2 linked regions of the Drosophila melanogaster genome follow. The protein of the gene in region 1 interacts with the protein of each later gene in a pairwise test. Each region holds a gene or a part of one and is shown in the gene's direction. Other genes may lie near its edges.

Region 1 (8,189 bases):
GATTTTCTCAAGAGCAATATGTATGTTGCCCAGTGTAATTAGATATGAGATGGAACACAATCAAAAGAAAACCGGTAGGTGATCGGCCCATGAGCCGAAATTATAAACATTTGACTCTCCAGGTATGTGACGACTTTTCGAAAAAATGCAGCAGGTATAAATACTTTAGCGACTCAGCTGAGAGTCCGTCAGTTCCAGCCCAGACAACCCAGCGATCGCACAGATAGAATCTATCAAACTCACAGAAGAATTCTCGCAATGAAGACTCTGATTGTTCTCGCTCTTCTGGTGGCCGCCGTTTCGGCCCTACCGCAATTTGGATTCGGACGACCAGGATTTGGTGGCGGATTCGGCGGCGGACCCTACGGCGGTGGCTTTGGCGGTGGTCCATATGGCGGCGGCTTTGGCGGTGGTCCTTATGGCGGCGGTTTCGGAGGTGGTCCATACGGCGGGGGATTCGGTAATCCCTATGGCGGCGGATTCGGCGGTGGCAGGCGTCATGGCGGTGGACGCGGTGGTGGCGGTGGTGCTGCCTCTGCCTCCGCATCTTCGTCAGCCTCTGCAGCTGGTGGTGGTGGCGGAGCGGCCTCCTCATCCGCCTCTTCATCCGCCTCCGCAAGCGGTGGTGGTTTCTACGGATAAGCTGCCAGAGAGCGGATTATCTAGAAGTTAAGTTATTGTTAATGTTAAAAAAGTCTGAAATAAAAAAATTTTAAAACCCACAAAAAGCATTATTTTGAAATTAAAAAAAAATCAATAATTTATCTCTTCAGAAATTATTAAGGTTCAATAAACGGATTTATGTGCAGTTTTTAATTAACAAATATTTACACATTTCGCTAAAAGCGAAAAATATTTATCTGTCGAGTTCTATGTGTAATGTAATTTTTATTTTAAATCTTATAAGCAATCTAATTGATTTTAAGTCTTATCAGCGAAGTGAATGATTATTCTACGGTCGAGGGTTGGCTATTATAAGAAATTATATTTTTAGTATAATAATTTGGGATAGATTTGTGAGCAGATTAAAAGATTTATTACTTCTAATCATTTTAGTGAGAGTACTTACCTTACCGTACTCTTACTTTTTTTGTTTTTGAATTTTACCCTCCTCAAACTTGTGCAGTGCACAATATGGTTCGATTTCTCATCCGATGAGTACTAATCTGCATAAAATTGCCGTTGGCTTATACATATAAGTCGGGAGGATAAATAAAAATAGTTGCACATTCAATTGTCAAAGTTCTGACATAGATGGCCAGTGATGCGGGCATCGTATGTAGGAGGCTTTTGAGCACCCTTTTGCATTTTTATATGGCTGTGTGAATCACATAACATTACTTGGCACACTTTCAATTGGGACTCCCCGTTTGGTTGGTCCACTCTTTCGATGATAGCTCTTTCGTAGCCCCCACGCCGATCAAACAAAATTAATCAACTCGATTCATTTGAATTTCTAATGCTTTTGGGATGTTGTTTTTCTCCTGACATGATGATGACTCTCGTGTATTAATTTGAATAATTAACGTTTAGAATTTAGCCAAATACACGTTTTTATAACGTTTTCAATTATATTCGGCTTTAAAAGGCTTAAATAAACAAACAATTAAAAATCTGCGCGACGCGAAAAAGTTTAAAGCTAAACAGGTGGCAGAAAGGCAACAAAAAATTTGCATTTATTATGGCGAACAGTAAAATCAGTCAACTGTTTTTGATATGTTTGTGATACTTAATTAATAGCGGCACAGAGATGCTCAAAGAGAACTAGTTCATTATTTTTATTTATTAATTTAATTTGATGACTGTACTAATATCTAACCAGTTACCGCTAATAAGATCTACCTCTATCTAATATCTATAATATCTATGGTAAACTGTTTTACGTTTACTGCTTAATATTATTATTTACATATTTTTAAATGGCTAAACAATAAGTAATTACATTTTTCTATGTTCCGAGGATAAATATATAGATTTTGACTAGCATTTAATGCGACATCTATTTCGGATCATCTGACTAGAATTCCCCTTGTTCGAAATCTACCTGCGCTGATTTTCAATATTGGCCCCCCTCGATAAGATGTATTTTTCGTCACCCTCCATTAAGCTCCATTAACTACTCGGTCCATGACATCACTGGTATCAAGCCCATCGTTATGCTGCCTCTCCAGTGGATGTATAGATTAGGGGGCGCGTCTCAGGTGCTACCGAGATTGGGACTAACCGGTTGCAGCGGGAGATCGAGCAGACCGGGTTTATTGTGTGTAGGGTCCGACGGTCGTACGCTCCGAACTTGCTAATGAGTTGAGCCATAAATATTGATAATTTGTTCTGTTTTTTCTCTTTTTCTCATTTCTATCTACTTTTGCCGCTTAGGAGAGTGAGCTCCAGGGTAGATCACCGAGCAGTCAACGAATCTATTCGCCAACGGGCAACGGAATAAAAGCCGGGTCCGGCGGTGCATTGGACAAGTGTTTGGATCACCTTCGAGGAAGCAACAACTCAACATGAAACTTTTCATCGCGCTCTCTGTTCTGGTGGCTGTGGCATCGGCCCTGCCTCAATTCGGCGGAAACGCCAACGCCAACGCGAATGCTAATGCCAATGCCCAGGGCGGCCTTGGAGGTCGTCCTGGATTCGGCGGTGGCCCAGGGTTTGGCGGTGGCCCAGGTTTCGGCGGTGGCCCAGGTTTCGGCGGTCGCCCAGGCTTTGGCGGTGGCCCAGGATTCGGCGGTGGCCCAGGTTTCGGCGGTGGCCAAGGTTTCGGCGGTCGCCCAGGATTCGGCGGTGGCCCAGGATTCGGCGGTGGATTTGGTGGAGGTCCTGGATTTGGTGGTGGCTCAGGATTCGGTGGTGGACGTCCTGCAGTCGGTGGCTCATCTGCGGCCTCAGCCTCTTCCTCGGCATCGGCTAGTGGTGGCGGACGTGGTGGCGCTGGATCCGCTTCTGCATCGTCATCCGCCAATGCCTCCGGAGGTGGACTGTACGGTTAGACCGATCCAAACTATACTGGTATTTGGAGTTAAGCGATAAGAAATGACTGTGAATAAAACCTAAATAAATTAAAATTATATACAAGTATTTGTCATTCAATCATTTTTATCATTAAGGAGTTATTTGTAAACATATTATAGGTAAACGTGTTAAGCTAAAAATTCAACAGTAGCAATAGTCGAATAGACGCGGAGTGAGAAATAAAAAAAGTTGAACTATTTGCTAGAAAACTAACGACAAATTTTAAACGCATTTATTGAAAGGAGATGTTATATTTTTGGCTCTTGTAGGCGTGCTTATACAAAAGATCATTGCTAAAATCTTTGAATTATATTTTAAGTTTACGAAAACCAATTTAATTTTAAGACACAAATAATGAAAATCTAATCTAACATTAATACATTTTAAAACACAGTTCTTAAGAACTGGAAAAATTTGATATTATTTTATGAATCAGTAGTACAAGAGAGTTATAAAATCTTGGTTCAAATATATAGCAAGAAGCTTTTGTCAGGCATTGGAAATTGACAAAACACTGGTTGACTTTTTATACGCTTTCAGAGGGCATCTCGATTATATCCAGAAGTTTGCCAGACACATTTGCGACCAAAAGAAGTATATACATGTTTAAATTCTTGATCATTCTGTTTGTTTTTATGCAAATGAGCCCCTTAGGTTTGAAGCTATCTGCATGAATCTTCCCCAAAAGCTTTTTTCTAATATAGGGTAGCATATAACTCGGAACGAACCGGATCGGCAAACAATTTTTCGCTTGATCATAAAAAACACTCTTATTCGGTGTAAATTCGTATTTGAGTACAATAACTTTGTATTTTGCTTAGTAAAAATCGAACGACCACAACTGCCTTGGAAAATTATTCGAAAATAATAAAAAAGAAATCATAGTTTCAATGTTGTAACTCGGTAAGCATCCGTATTTTTTAAATATATATGTACATATTTAAATTTATATAGATAAACAAATAAATACACGTAGTAGAAGGGTATATAAGCTTCGGCTGAGCTTCCTTTCTTGTTAGATCTGACTCGACTATCCGCACGTCCGCAGTTTAAATTATCATTTTTATTTCGCGTAAATGAAGTTGAATACAAACATACATATATTCATCGCTAAAAAATATGTAAATTTTATAGGGGCTTGAACGGTTGCCGGTAAATTACAAAAATATTGATAAGAACCAGATGTGGGTTTGCTTCCAAATATGGAATAATTTTGGATTTATAGCAGAACAAGGAAACTCATAGAAAAGTGTTAATTAAAACCACATGTGCGACTTTGTAAGAATATATTGGTAGTAAGCGACCGAAAATATTTAAATATATTAGGGTAATGTTTTTAAGCTTGCCAAATTTGTTGATTCCAATTTGATTATCATTGGACTAATACCGCTAAGGATTCTGAAACGGTTCTTTTCACAATGATCATGTAATAACGCTTCTATATTAAGGTAGATTTAGATTTCAGGAACCACTTTGCTTCTATATCTATGCTGATAAAAAAAAAAAAAACAAACATATAACACATTCTAGTGTTAATAGCTAATAGCTAATAAAGAGAATTCCCTGACAATTAACTGCTTCTATGTCGTTTCCGTCTGAAAGCGATGCGATGATAGTGCCGAAAGTAAGAAATATACTGGCTTAATGAAATATAAACACAAATATCAATAATCGTTTAAATATTGATATCATCAAACCGGTTCCTTAGTAAACCACCACGAACACGGCTCGTGTTGGTCTAAAGACATTTGCAAACTTTCCTTAAACCATTGCATTCGATCAGAGCACTATCTGACTCTTTCACTCGCTATCCGTCCCACTCTGGAGCGCTGTCCAGATCGGGGGAATCTATCTGTGATCTCCGATAATATTGAAATTATTTTTCGGCAGTGACTATTGTTTGCATGCTAATTTTTATCCGAAAGCGGAGGCTAGATTAGATTATTGTTTTTTTTTTTTATTTTTTTTTGTTTGTTTGCGTCTGCCTGCCGTCTGGCCACTATAAAAACCAGGCCCTGGGGCATTGGCCATTAAGTTTGTTCAGTCACTCCGATCAAGCAGATCACCATGAAGGTCTTTGTCGTTCTCGCCGTAATCCTGGCCGTGTCCAGTGCCGCCCCGCAGTTTAATAATGGCAATGCTAACGCAAATGCCAACGCAAATGCTGAGAGTGAGGGCGGTGGAAGACCAGGATTCAGCGGACCTGGTTTCCAGAAGGAAGGCGGATTCGGAGGAGGATTCGGGGAACGAGGCCCTGGATTCGGAGGACAGGGTGGATTCGGAGGGCCAGGACAAGGTGGATTCGGAGGACCAGGTGGCTTTGAAGGACAAGGTGGATTCGGCGGACAGGGTGGATTCGGAGGACAGGGTGGATTCGGAGGACAGGGTGGATTCGGAGGACCAGGAGGATTCGGAGGACCAGGAGGACCAGGAGGATTCGGTGGTAACTCCGAAGCTAACGCCAATGCCAATGCTGTCGCCAACTCTGACGGAGGATTTGGCGGTGGTAATGCCAATGCAAACGCCAATGCCAATGCCAACACCCGAGGTGGCAGTGCTAATGCTAACGCCAATGCCGTCGCCAACGCATTCCGCAAATAAGCCAACAGATCCGAATTTATTCACTGAGTAGATTTTTAATATTTATAAAAATAAAAATAAAAAACACAAAACTATGAACATTTGTAATTCTTGAAAGGCATGTCATCACAGTAATGAGGTCCATGCAAACAAGGAAAACTAACACAGAATCCTTTTTAAGTATAGATCCACTAAATTGAATGTGCATAAAAAGAACATGTGCATTTTTGCACACATCCAATTACATTTTTTTTTCCAGGGGAATGCTTTGTCAAGAATATTTTGATAATATTTTATTTCGAATTTATGCATTTCTATTATGAAAATATAAATGAAATGATTCAGTCGCAAAATTGTTCTAGGCTGATAAAATTACAATTCATACATTGAAAGCGTATTTTGTAAAAATGTTTGTAGTCTTTTTGGAATAAACAAAGAAAAATATTTTACTCTTTAGATTTACAAATTATAATTATAATGTGTGTTCCACTTTCTAGAGCAACAGAAAAGAACAGACATTTCGAAAACATCATTGATATGCAGACTGTGTGCTTTGATTAGTGCAAAAATTAACTATGATAATAATATGTAGATAATTTAGCTAGAATTAAAAACTAGAAAAAACGCTATAGCCGAGTTCCTCGACTATCTGATACCCGTTACTCAACTAGTTCATTTGGCACATCAATAGATAGGAAAAAATGGTAATTAAACAAAAAAATATCAAAAGCATTTTTCAAAAGTGCAACGTCCCTAAAATCTGAATGCAATATAGATTGAAAATGCTCCTTCTATCTGTTTCATACATTCTAATAAGCCTAGCATACCCTATTACTGTACGATTAAGGGGTATAAAACTAGTTTTATTTCGGAAAGGTTTGGCTACCGTAAACGTAGAAACTTATCCAGATGTTGATAATTTGCAAATTTAAATATTGCAAACCCGAGTTTTAAGAAGCTTGACAATATATCAAGAGACGTCGGACTTCATTTGTGAAAAAATATCTTCGATTTATTAGACCTGCTGAAATTGAGTGTGTCACTCCGTAAGTGGCCAAATTCAAGACTTGTTGTGGGTGGCAAATGCAATTACTTAATTACATAAAAAAAGTAATCACACAAAAAAAAAAAACTCACAAATTGTTTGGATTTCCGGGTAAGCTGTACAAACAAATGATGAATGAAATGAGCTTAATGATTTTAAATATAAAAATAAATTAAATTAAAATTGAGATGCACTAACTATTTGCAAAAACTATATATATATAATGCATACTTTTCAGTTGTAATTCAAGTTGTTAGATACATTTTAAAACATAGTTTCTAATATTAGCTCCCGCTGTTAACTTAGTCTGTTTTTAGGAGGCTAGAGAAATCTTGTTTGACGTCATTAGATCTATAAATAATGCCCGACTCATAAACTGGTTATTAACCTAATATACGAAAACAACATCTTGGATTTCCAAAAACAGAATTAGCATTTTAATATTTATTGGTATTGGTATTGGTTTCAGTTTAGTAGGTCTGTCAGCGGACGTGCCCACTTTTCGAGAGTACAGTTATGAATCCGTTTCGAGCCTATCCATGTCTGCCATGTCCACCTCCACCTCCTCCGGAGCTGGCGTTGGCGGTTGCAGTGGCCGAGGCCGAGGCGGAAGCTGGGCCGCCTCCTCTGCTGTCGGCGGTTGCAGCGGCATTCGCGTTGGCAACTGCGTTCGAACCGCCGACTCCACCGACTCCACCGCCTCCACCGCCTCCACCGCGACCACCGCCACCACCGCCTCCACCGAATCCGCCGAATCCACCAGGATGTGCCTGAACGGCCACCAGGGCGAAGATTAGAAAAATGCAGATAGCCAGGAACTTCATCGTTAGAGATTGCGATGTTTTGTGATCGCGTGCTGGCCTCTTTTATACCAGCATCCGTGACAGGTGGACGACTTGTTTATCTGAAAAACAAAAAAAATCACAGAATCGATATTGTATCGGCATATATATGGGGGCTTCGATTAGCACATTAATTAGACATATATTAAAAACGCATGACGTTTAATATTACCTATATGTATAGTATATGCTTATATACTATGTTATCAATAATTGAAAACTGGTTAGCTTTGGCAAGCCATGTTTTGGTAAAGTATATTTTCAGGCTGTAAAAAAGCTCAGATAAATTCATTATGATAATCAGCTATAAAAACTAGTTTATCATGTAAGTCCTTAGATTTGCTTCTGTTTACACATTTTATACAAAATTCCTTTTCCGGTGATTACAACTTTTGAACCCGAAAATTATATATATATTCTTCACTTAATAAATAATAATTAAAAATTAATAAATTTATATTTATAGTATATTATACATAGAAGGTAAGGCCATTGTGTTGATAACGTTTGGCAAAAGTAATAATAGAAAAATGTCTTAGTCTTTATGCAATAATTATGCATTTGTTTATTTTTTAAAGCAATTGCCGTTTCTGGACTGCTGTTATCATCATTCCTTATCCGTAGTAAGCACCCGGACTGTAACCAACTGAGTTTGCGTTTGCATTAGCGTTGGCAGTGGCTACTGCGCCTCCACCACCACCGCCGTA
Region 2 (8,526 bases), on another chromosome or scaffold:
TTGCAAGCTGTGCGTGACGGACGCCAATGTTGACCTCGTCATTGCCACTCCACCATTCTCGCGTCTGGAAAAGCTGTGCGCCGTGCTCACCCGACATCTGTGCCGCAACGAAGATCAGGTGCTGCGAGAGTTCTCTGTGAACCTGCTGCACTACCTTGCAGCTGCTGACAGCGCCATGGCTCGGACCGTGGCGCTTCAGTCTCCGTGCATCTCATACCTGGTGGCCTTCATCGAGCAGGCCGAACAGACGGCGCTAGGCGTGGCGAACCAGCACGGAATCAACTACCTGCGCGAGAATCCTGACTCGATGGGCACCAGCCTGGACATGCTGCGGAGAGCAGCCGGCACCCTGCTCCATCTGGCCAAGCATCCGGATAACCGGTCGCTGTTCATGCAACAAGAACAGCGGCTGCTTGGTCTGGTCATGTCGCACATCCTGGACCAACAGGTGGCTCTGATTATTTCGCGTGTTCTTTACCAAGTGTCGCGAGGAACAGGGCCTATTCACTCCGTGGAGTTCCGTCTGCTGCAGCAGCGGCAACAACAACAGCTGCGACCTGGTCCTGCAGGGAAGCAAGCAGCCAGTGCAGGAGGAAGTGCGACAGTAAAAGCGGAGACTGCATCGACGGAAACGAGTTCCACTGAAGCGAAGCCCGCACCAGCAGCCACTACGGCAGTGGTCAACGATGAGAACAGCAACAGTAGCCAGCAGTTGCCGCCGGCAGCGACGTTCAACGACGTCAGCAACAGCAGCACCAACAGCAACAGCTGCGGTACGGCCAGCAGCAACCAGACGAACAACAGCACCACCAACAGCAGCCACAGTAGCAGTGCAATCAGCAGCCAATCGGCGATCACGGTAGCCGCTCCATCAGCAGCCGCAACAGGAGCAGGATCAGCGACAGCAGCAGCGATTGCCAGCGATCAGCAGCAGGTGAGCAAGGTGGCTGCAGCTGCGGCCGCTGCTGCGGCTTTAAGCAATGCCAGTGCAGCGGCAGCAGCAGCTGCGGCGGCGGCAGCTGCTTCCGTTGGTCCGCCCACATCGTCGAGCGTGTCCGCCGGAGCAGCGGTCGCTCAACCAGCGGCACCTCCACCAACCAATGCAGGAACAACGACAGCCGTTGCGTAGTATACGACAATGATGCCAGCGTCCTACTACTGGCCACGAACCCCGCGAGGGGCAGTCGACTAAGCTGGCGTTCGGTGGTTGAACAGCGGGCCCAGGAGCAACTCCGAAGTGCAAGACCAGAAGATGATACCTGCATCCATGTGGGGTGGGCATGTAAATTTACTTAAGTATGGCGCCAAGAGAGAGAGAGAGAGTCACGATGTGCGAGAACTCGTGTCCGAACTCTAAGGATACGTAAACGGGAACTCAGCAGGTGCAGCGCCTGCAATGTATCTGCGATGGAATGGCTCGCCAATCCATCACTGTAACAGTCAATACAATAACAACTGTATATTTTTTCACTCAAATCTAAAAATAGTAAATATGATAACTAAACCTAAACCCTAAGCATTAAGAAATTGAAGCAGCATAGTTATGATCATTCGAAAAGGAAACTGTTCGGAGCAGAACCACTGATACTAACCGATCGAGTTATAGGATCGGGGATTATTATTGAGTCGAACGTGAAGATAGGAAACGGAGGATAACAAAGTTAAGAGCGAAATTCAAGCACACAGCATACTTATTGTACTAAATTTAATAAAAATGAAGCGACGAGCGAGGAGGAATAACTAACACATACATATGCATACGCACGCTACGGTTTATCGTATATTAAATATATATATAAATAAATGCATAAACTAACATTAAATTACATGAGAATGAATTGTGTATGTAAAAGGGATGAATGCATACATACGTACATCTAGACATTGATATATAAATACATAGAGGATAGTTTTTAAATTCTACCACTTACTAATACCTACATATTACCACAATGTGCAGCATAGGAACTCATAAACTGATCGAACTGAACGAACACCAAAGTTCACGCGGAAATATTTAAAAGCAACACGTATATAAGGCAGTTTATTGGATTCAATGTGGTCTAAATGTTGCAGAAGGACGAATCCTTAGAGATGACTAAAAACCATTGTACATACTTAACTATTATGTAAATTTCACTGTATTTTTGTTTTTACGCAATGTTACAAGGCACATGTAAGTGGCAGCACTGCATTTTGTATTATGTTTATGTGTATGATGTTGTATGATGTATTGATGGGCTGCGAAAATTCCAACTTCTTAGTTTTAATCGCATAACTCGGAGGCGAATGGAAATGAAATTAAGCGAGAGAAACAAGCAAACAAGCAAAAATGAAAAACCCTCAGATGAAGGCAAGCAAACAATTTAAATTGAAATCAAATTAGGTGATATAATATATAAAAATACATAACATATACATACATAATTAATATAAACGAAACATGAAAAATCGAAAAAATGAAACCCTAATGCTGTAATCTTATGTTAACTGTATTATTTGCTGGAAGTGCTGCTGCTTCGTTTTATTTTATATCGAACTTACTTAAGGCGTAAATGACAAGATAAATAATTAGGTTTTTATCTTAATCTTAATTTAAAATGCAAAACAAATAAAACCAAGAAAACAAAGCAAAACAAAACGAAACCATAAAATGCTATAAAACACAAAGCGAAGCAAATCGAACTAAAGCTGTAGAGAAGCACGCAAAAAGGACTAATAACCACACATCCACACCCACACCCAAAATGCTTGGCGTTAGGAAACCAATAAACAATTAATGCAAAACCATACATGGGTGGGTGCACCAATTTGTATACTAAACTTTCTCACACATAATTAACGTGCTACATAAGAGATCGAAAATGAAATGTCTCCAGATTCTGGCATGAGCAAGTCTAGAGGTCCTTCCGGTTTCCGGTGGCGATCCTCTGGATCCAGAGGAACTGCAAGATATTGGGAGATAATAGGAAACTGCTGCTGTTGATACGTGTATTCGTGTAGTTGTTTGCAAACAAATATTATAACTCAGCATCTCGATATATAACGTGTAGTTATTAGTCTATAATTTGCTAGGATGTAAATGTATGTCCCTCAAACTTAATTTAATTATTTAATTAATATACATACATATATGATATACAATACAGCCTTTGTACTTGTCGTTTCTTATCGCTGATAAGGGAAAAATATTTTTTGGCGGGGAAATACTTTTTAGAACTCATTTCGATTTTTTCAGTGCAAATCAATTGGTCAGATTGATGAATCCTATGGTAACGCATTCCCAAAATATTTCTTATTATATTATTATAAACTATATTGCTTCTGTTCAGCGTAGGACATTCACTGTTGAGCGAAAGATTATTATATAAATGTATATTCGAGATAATATGCAATTGAGCACCTAAATACCATGTCTAGGTTTTCAAAAATGTCTAGTAACAAGATCTTTTGTCTGTTATTAGGCTGTACTTTCAGCATTGAGGTCGATGTTACTCGATTGGGAATTTGTGCATTGTATTTACAATGTCAATTTGTTCAAATTTACAATTTCAAAAATCAATTTTAAAAGAACTTACATTAATATTAAGAATTCGCGTGTTCCGGGATAAATTTGACTTTTTTAATTAATTGACAATTTTAATCGGTCAATGAAGAGCTTTAAAATTGTATTAATAGTTCTTCAATTAATTGAATAATATGATGTGCAAAAAAATAATTATCGGAAAAAATACTTTTTGACAGTAAGTAGTTTCTTACAAAATATTTGATTTAAAAATTATATATCGATACTTTTTCGAGATTATTAAATTCGAACAGCTTTATCACAGCAAGTTGGCAGCCCAATTTCTACGTCGATAAGTCCTCTCGTTTAATGTTCCATCCCTTAAATTTGGGCGATAAGAATAAGCACAGCCGGCTGTAACATTTTTTGTAAATTAACAGAGCGAATCGATTTTTGTATAGTAATCCGTTGAAAGCATGCTGTCGCTCAAGATGAAACTCGAGGTACTGGGTCGTCCCGATGTTGACATCCCGGTGGTGATGAGCGGTAATTGTCTAGTTTTCCTGATGGGGCTATAAGTCATCCCATTCTTTTCGTTCCGCAGACCGCAAGGAATTCGCCAACACAGTCCTCTGGTTGGAGGACCAGAAGATCCGGCTTTACTCCATAGAGGATCGCTGTAAGCTGCGCACTGTCGACAACCCTGAGATCTGGAAGGAGGGTTACTTAAAGTACTGTGCCGATTTGAGCATGCCGCCCCTGGAGACGCGGCAGGAGCAGCTGGCCTGGATTGTCAGCTATGCTGTGCGCCTGGACTTCCTCGATGATCCTGATCAGTTTGCCTCGATTAACACCAAACAGGTGCCACCCCAAAGCAATGGCAAGCAGTCCCAACAAAGGGTCCAGGCTATTTTCGATGGAAATATTAATAGTATGGTCTGATTTTAACTAAATTTACCATTTAAGGAACTTTAAATTTATATATTATGGATTTTTTAAGAGGTTCCAAAAACCACTTTTATTATCTATAGATGATAATCAGGTAAAGTACAACAAGTATTAATTCTTTCTTCCCACCAGCTCAGGAAAAAGCGTTCGTGGATGGAGTCCGGCTGCTGGCCAGCAAACTGAATGTGCCGCACCACCCGAACCATCTGTTGCAGCTGGAGGCTATCGCTCGCGTGGTGCACGAACGCCTCTCGCCCGCCGCCAAGGATCGCAAGCCGGTAGTGGGTAAACCCTTCCCTTTTGACAAGGGAAACGACGTCGTCTCGTCCAACGACTCTGCCCTGGACCTGCCCATGCGCATACTACGTCTTCTCCAGATCCAGAGCCTACGCGAGCTGCAGACACACATCAATGAGACCATTGTGGCGGTGCAGAACATCACGGCCAATCCAAAGACTGATACCAAGCTGGGGAAAGTGGGATTCTAGACGATTAACAGTAAAGGAACGCAATCGACACAATATAACATAAAAGGACATAAAGAACATAAAAGTTTTAAAATTGCATCTATAAAATATCCTTTAAAGCCAAGCAACAACATTTAGCAGAAATCAATAGATAGATCAACAGCCAAGCTATGAACAAGCAAACACCTTTTTTGAAAGCTATAAAATAAGAATCCTGTTGATATTTTATAATATTATTATTAATACAAACATATGTTTATTTATGATCCTCTTTCAAAAGATGCAATATTGTGTATGCCTATGTAATTAATTTATTTAAAATAAATCATAAATTCATTAAAGCAAACAAGGTTTTGTTTTCAACGATTTTAAATAGAAAAAATTCTAAAAACAAGGTTACAGCTATATTATTGTAATGCCACATGGTCGTACAAAAGAAAACATTAACCTTTATATATTAAGTGACTCTACGATTATAATTAAAACGTCATTGAATTAACGTCTAGAAAAGAACTGATGATCAGTGCTAGTATTTTCCTGTTCTTTTGGCTTCTCGGCGGTTGCCTTCAGGAAATTCGCGTCTGCCAGGCGGGCCACGCCCAGAACTCCAACGGCTATGGCGACGAAGGAGAAAGGAGTAAACATAAGACCGGATTTAAGATCCCAAGTGGCTCACCTGCAGCCAAGCCTTTCATAGTGAAATTCTCCAGAGGTTTCGCTTGTCTTTTTTTCGACTGTGCCAATAGGAAGGCACCAATTCCCAGGAGTCCAAGGCCACTGACCAGACGGCAGGCCAAGCAGTCCACCTCGTTGGAAACGTTGTCCTTGTTCCAAAAAGAAAGTCTACCGATCATTTTTAAAATTATTTCAATAATAACAATTTGGGAATGGATTTGGAAAATAAGGCGACAACTATCGATATACCAAGTTTGTCGCAGGGCTGCCAACTTGATTGTGTTAACTAAACTAGGTTTTTTGTTAATTCGATCAACAAATGCTTTATTGACCTTATTTTCTAATAGAACTAGATTCCTATTAATATTATATATGTTGACCACACTCTAAAATCTTTAATATGTATCTATCTTTTTAATAGCTATCGCCGATTTAAATGCATTGTTATCGATAGACGTGAACATTAGATGTTAAGTTAAAAGCGGCCGGTTACTATTCTTACAAAAATGGACTTTCAGCGAAACGATGCTATGCTCATGGAAATTCTGCAGGATCGGAAAACTATTACAGGTTTCCTGGACTCCATTTTCGGATTTCTGCGACGCAAGTAAAAGATTTTATCTCAAGATCCTTAACAAAACTGTAGTCCCACTTCCCTTTTTAGCACCGACTTTTATCACACAAAACGCGATGAAGCGGATAAAATAGGCTTCCCCAAAGGCGTGAGGGATCAGATTCTATATGGCGCCATGCAGCGCTACGATCCGGATTGCTTGCTACAATCCCTGACCGCGGAAGGCGGTGCAGATGATGGAGAAACGGCTCCGCCTGCCGTCGAAGAAGTGGTCCTGGAAAGCGAAGATGGTCCTCAGGACGAGGAAATGAAACCCATAGAGAGCCAGCCGCCACAAAAAGGGAAGGAGCAGTCAAAGTTCTCCCCCAGCGACTACAAAAACGGAGATGTGTTCGAAACGCACTGCTGGTCACAAACCCTCAAGGATGTGGAGGTGCAGGCTCTGCTTCCCAAGGATCATCAAACGGCGAAGAAGCTGCACATTTCAATTCAGGCCCAGCACATCAAAGTGAGCAGCAAGCATAGCCCAGAGACGATCATCCTCGAGGGAAACCTGAGCCAGCGGATTAAACACAAGGAGGCGGTGTGGACAATTGATCAGAACCGATTGATCATAAGTTACGGTGGGCATTCACCTAAAACATCTTTATAAACCATTTTCATAAACTGTATATAACTGTAGATAAAGCAAAGGAGCTCTGGTGGGATCGGCTCTTCGAAGGTGATCCAGAAATCGATTCCAAGAAGATTGAATGCGAACGCTATATAGATGATTTGCCGGAGGAAACCCAGGCCACCATAGAAAAGCTTAGGGTCCAGCAGTTGGCAGCAGACAAGCAACAAAATGAAATTCAGACCTCAAGTCCCGACCAAGCTATAAACCTGGATCGCCTGAAAGCTGCCTGGGATGCCGAAGGTTCGCCGTTTAAAGGACAGCCCTTTGATCCTTCTATCGTAAGAATGAGTTAAATTTTAAAATAATTAATTAAGCTAGCAATAGTAGTAAAATAGTAAAAACTGAACCATATATATTTTTATATATCTTTTAGTTTTTTCATTATTTGTTTCGTTCTGATTCGGAAACTGAAATTGTTAGAAAAGTATTATTCAATACAAACTCATGTCAACTTACAACTAGATCTTAGTAAGAACACTTTTGAGATTAAGTTTACTTGGCCTTCAGTTCGAGTTTCTTGCGCTGCAGTTGAATCTTCTGATAGGCCACATCCTTCTGATCTGTGGACCAGGCCAGGTACATGTAGGTGGTCAGCAGCAAGGCCATGACTAGCCGATCCACGCTCATCACATTCGTGGCGAACAGGATGACCGACAGGCCCACAAACGAGGGATGTCTGACATGGGCGTACAGATTGCGCAATTCCCCGGATTTGTAGCTGATGGGCGGTCCGTAGGCCTTCAGATCGTAGTAGGCTTGCTTGACGCCCAGCAGCTCTGGCAGATCCATCACCAAACTGCCGCCAAAGATGACAACCCAGCAGATGCCATGGGTGATCACGAAGGTCCACCAAAGCGGAGCACTCTGCTCCACATCGATTTGCCACAGAACAATCGACTGAGCGGGCAGCCAGTTGACGATCAAATACTGAAATGTCCAAAGTTGCAGTTGGGAGCTATTTCTGTCCAATTTGTGGGTATACAAACATGTAAACAAAGCGATGACGTCAGGCTATAAATAGTGCGCTCCGCACCCGACAATCCCAACTTGGCCAACAGCTTCTTGACCACGGCTGACTTGAGGAAGCTGTGCTGGAAGATGAATCCGATCAGGTAGAGGGTATCGAACACCACGGGTCCATAGGCGGTCTGCAGGCGCGACTTGTTGTCCAGTAAATTGAAAATCCAGGTGTGCGCCTTGGAAATCGAACGAGGCGTCGAAAGGAACATCATCAGGCTGCCAACCACGTACAGGGAGTAAGCGAACGTGGCCAGGGATGCCAATAGTACTATGGACTTGGCAATCGATGTCATTTTTGTCAGGAAAATTGAGAAAATAGCTTGTTATTTCGAGATAATCAAAACAAATTCAATGAACGTTTCGGTGAGCTAATCAGTGCGACCATGGCACAGTCGCGATAAAATCTTCGGTGAAGAATTTCAATTTGGTTTGTGTCCACGATAAAAACATCGCTCTCCCCACGTAGCGTGTCTCGGCTACAAAAACATAGCGCATTTATCCGGCGGCTTGAGTCATCGCTAGTTGTCCAAATTTAGGACTATTATGTGACTGGCGCGATTTTTGGAGTATGTCGCCACGGTCACTCTGTTTGCAAATGTTTCAATTTTCCCACTAACGAAAAAGTGTAAGTCCGCAGCCGAAAGGCATAAGAAAGTTGAGA

What was found.
Region 2: the proteins of CG7299 (region 1) and CG31249 interact in a two-hybrid assay, tested with the Drosophila melanogaster proteins (one large-scale study listed by BioGRID).

The regions. Positions count from the first base shown.
Region 1 is NT_033779.5:10,681,266-10,689,454, reverse strand, and holds CG7299 (uncharacterized protein), read left to right. Parts: upstream 1-5,045; 5' UTR 5,046-5,082; coding exon 5,083-5,616; 3' UTR 5,617-6,028; downstream 6,029-8,189. Other genes in the region: CG7294 (uncharacterized protein), read left to right, coding at 259-642; CG7296 (uncharacterized protein), read left to right, coding at 2,508-2,993; CG17107 (uncharacterized protein), read right to left, coding at 7,174-7,464; CG17105 (uncharacterized protein), read right to left, coding at 8,097-8,189.
Region 2 is NT_033777.3:17,682,421-17,690,946, reverse strand, and holds CG31249 (uncharacterized protein), read left to right. Parts: upstream 1-3,875; 5' UTR 3,876-3,981; coding exon 3,982-4,051; intron 4,052-4,109; coding exon 4,110-4,436; intron 4,437-4,585; coding exon 4,586-4,941; 3' UTR 4,942-5,258; downstream 5,259-8,526. Other genes in the region: osa, read left to right, coding at 1-1,129; CG31360 (uncharacterized protein), read right to left, coding at 5,416-5,534, 5,597-5,774; CG31251 (uncharacterized protein), read left to right, coding at 6,102-6,202, 6,260-6,792, 6,852-7,138; CG7655 (uncharacterized protein), read right to left, coding at 7,338-7,772, 7,832-8,158.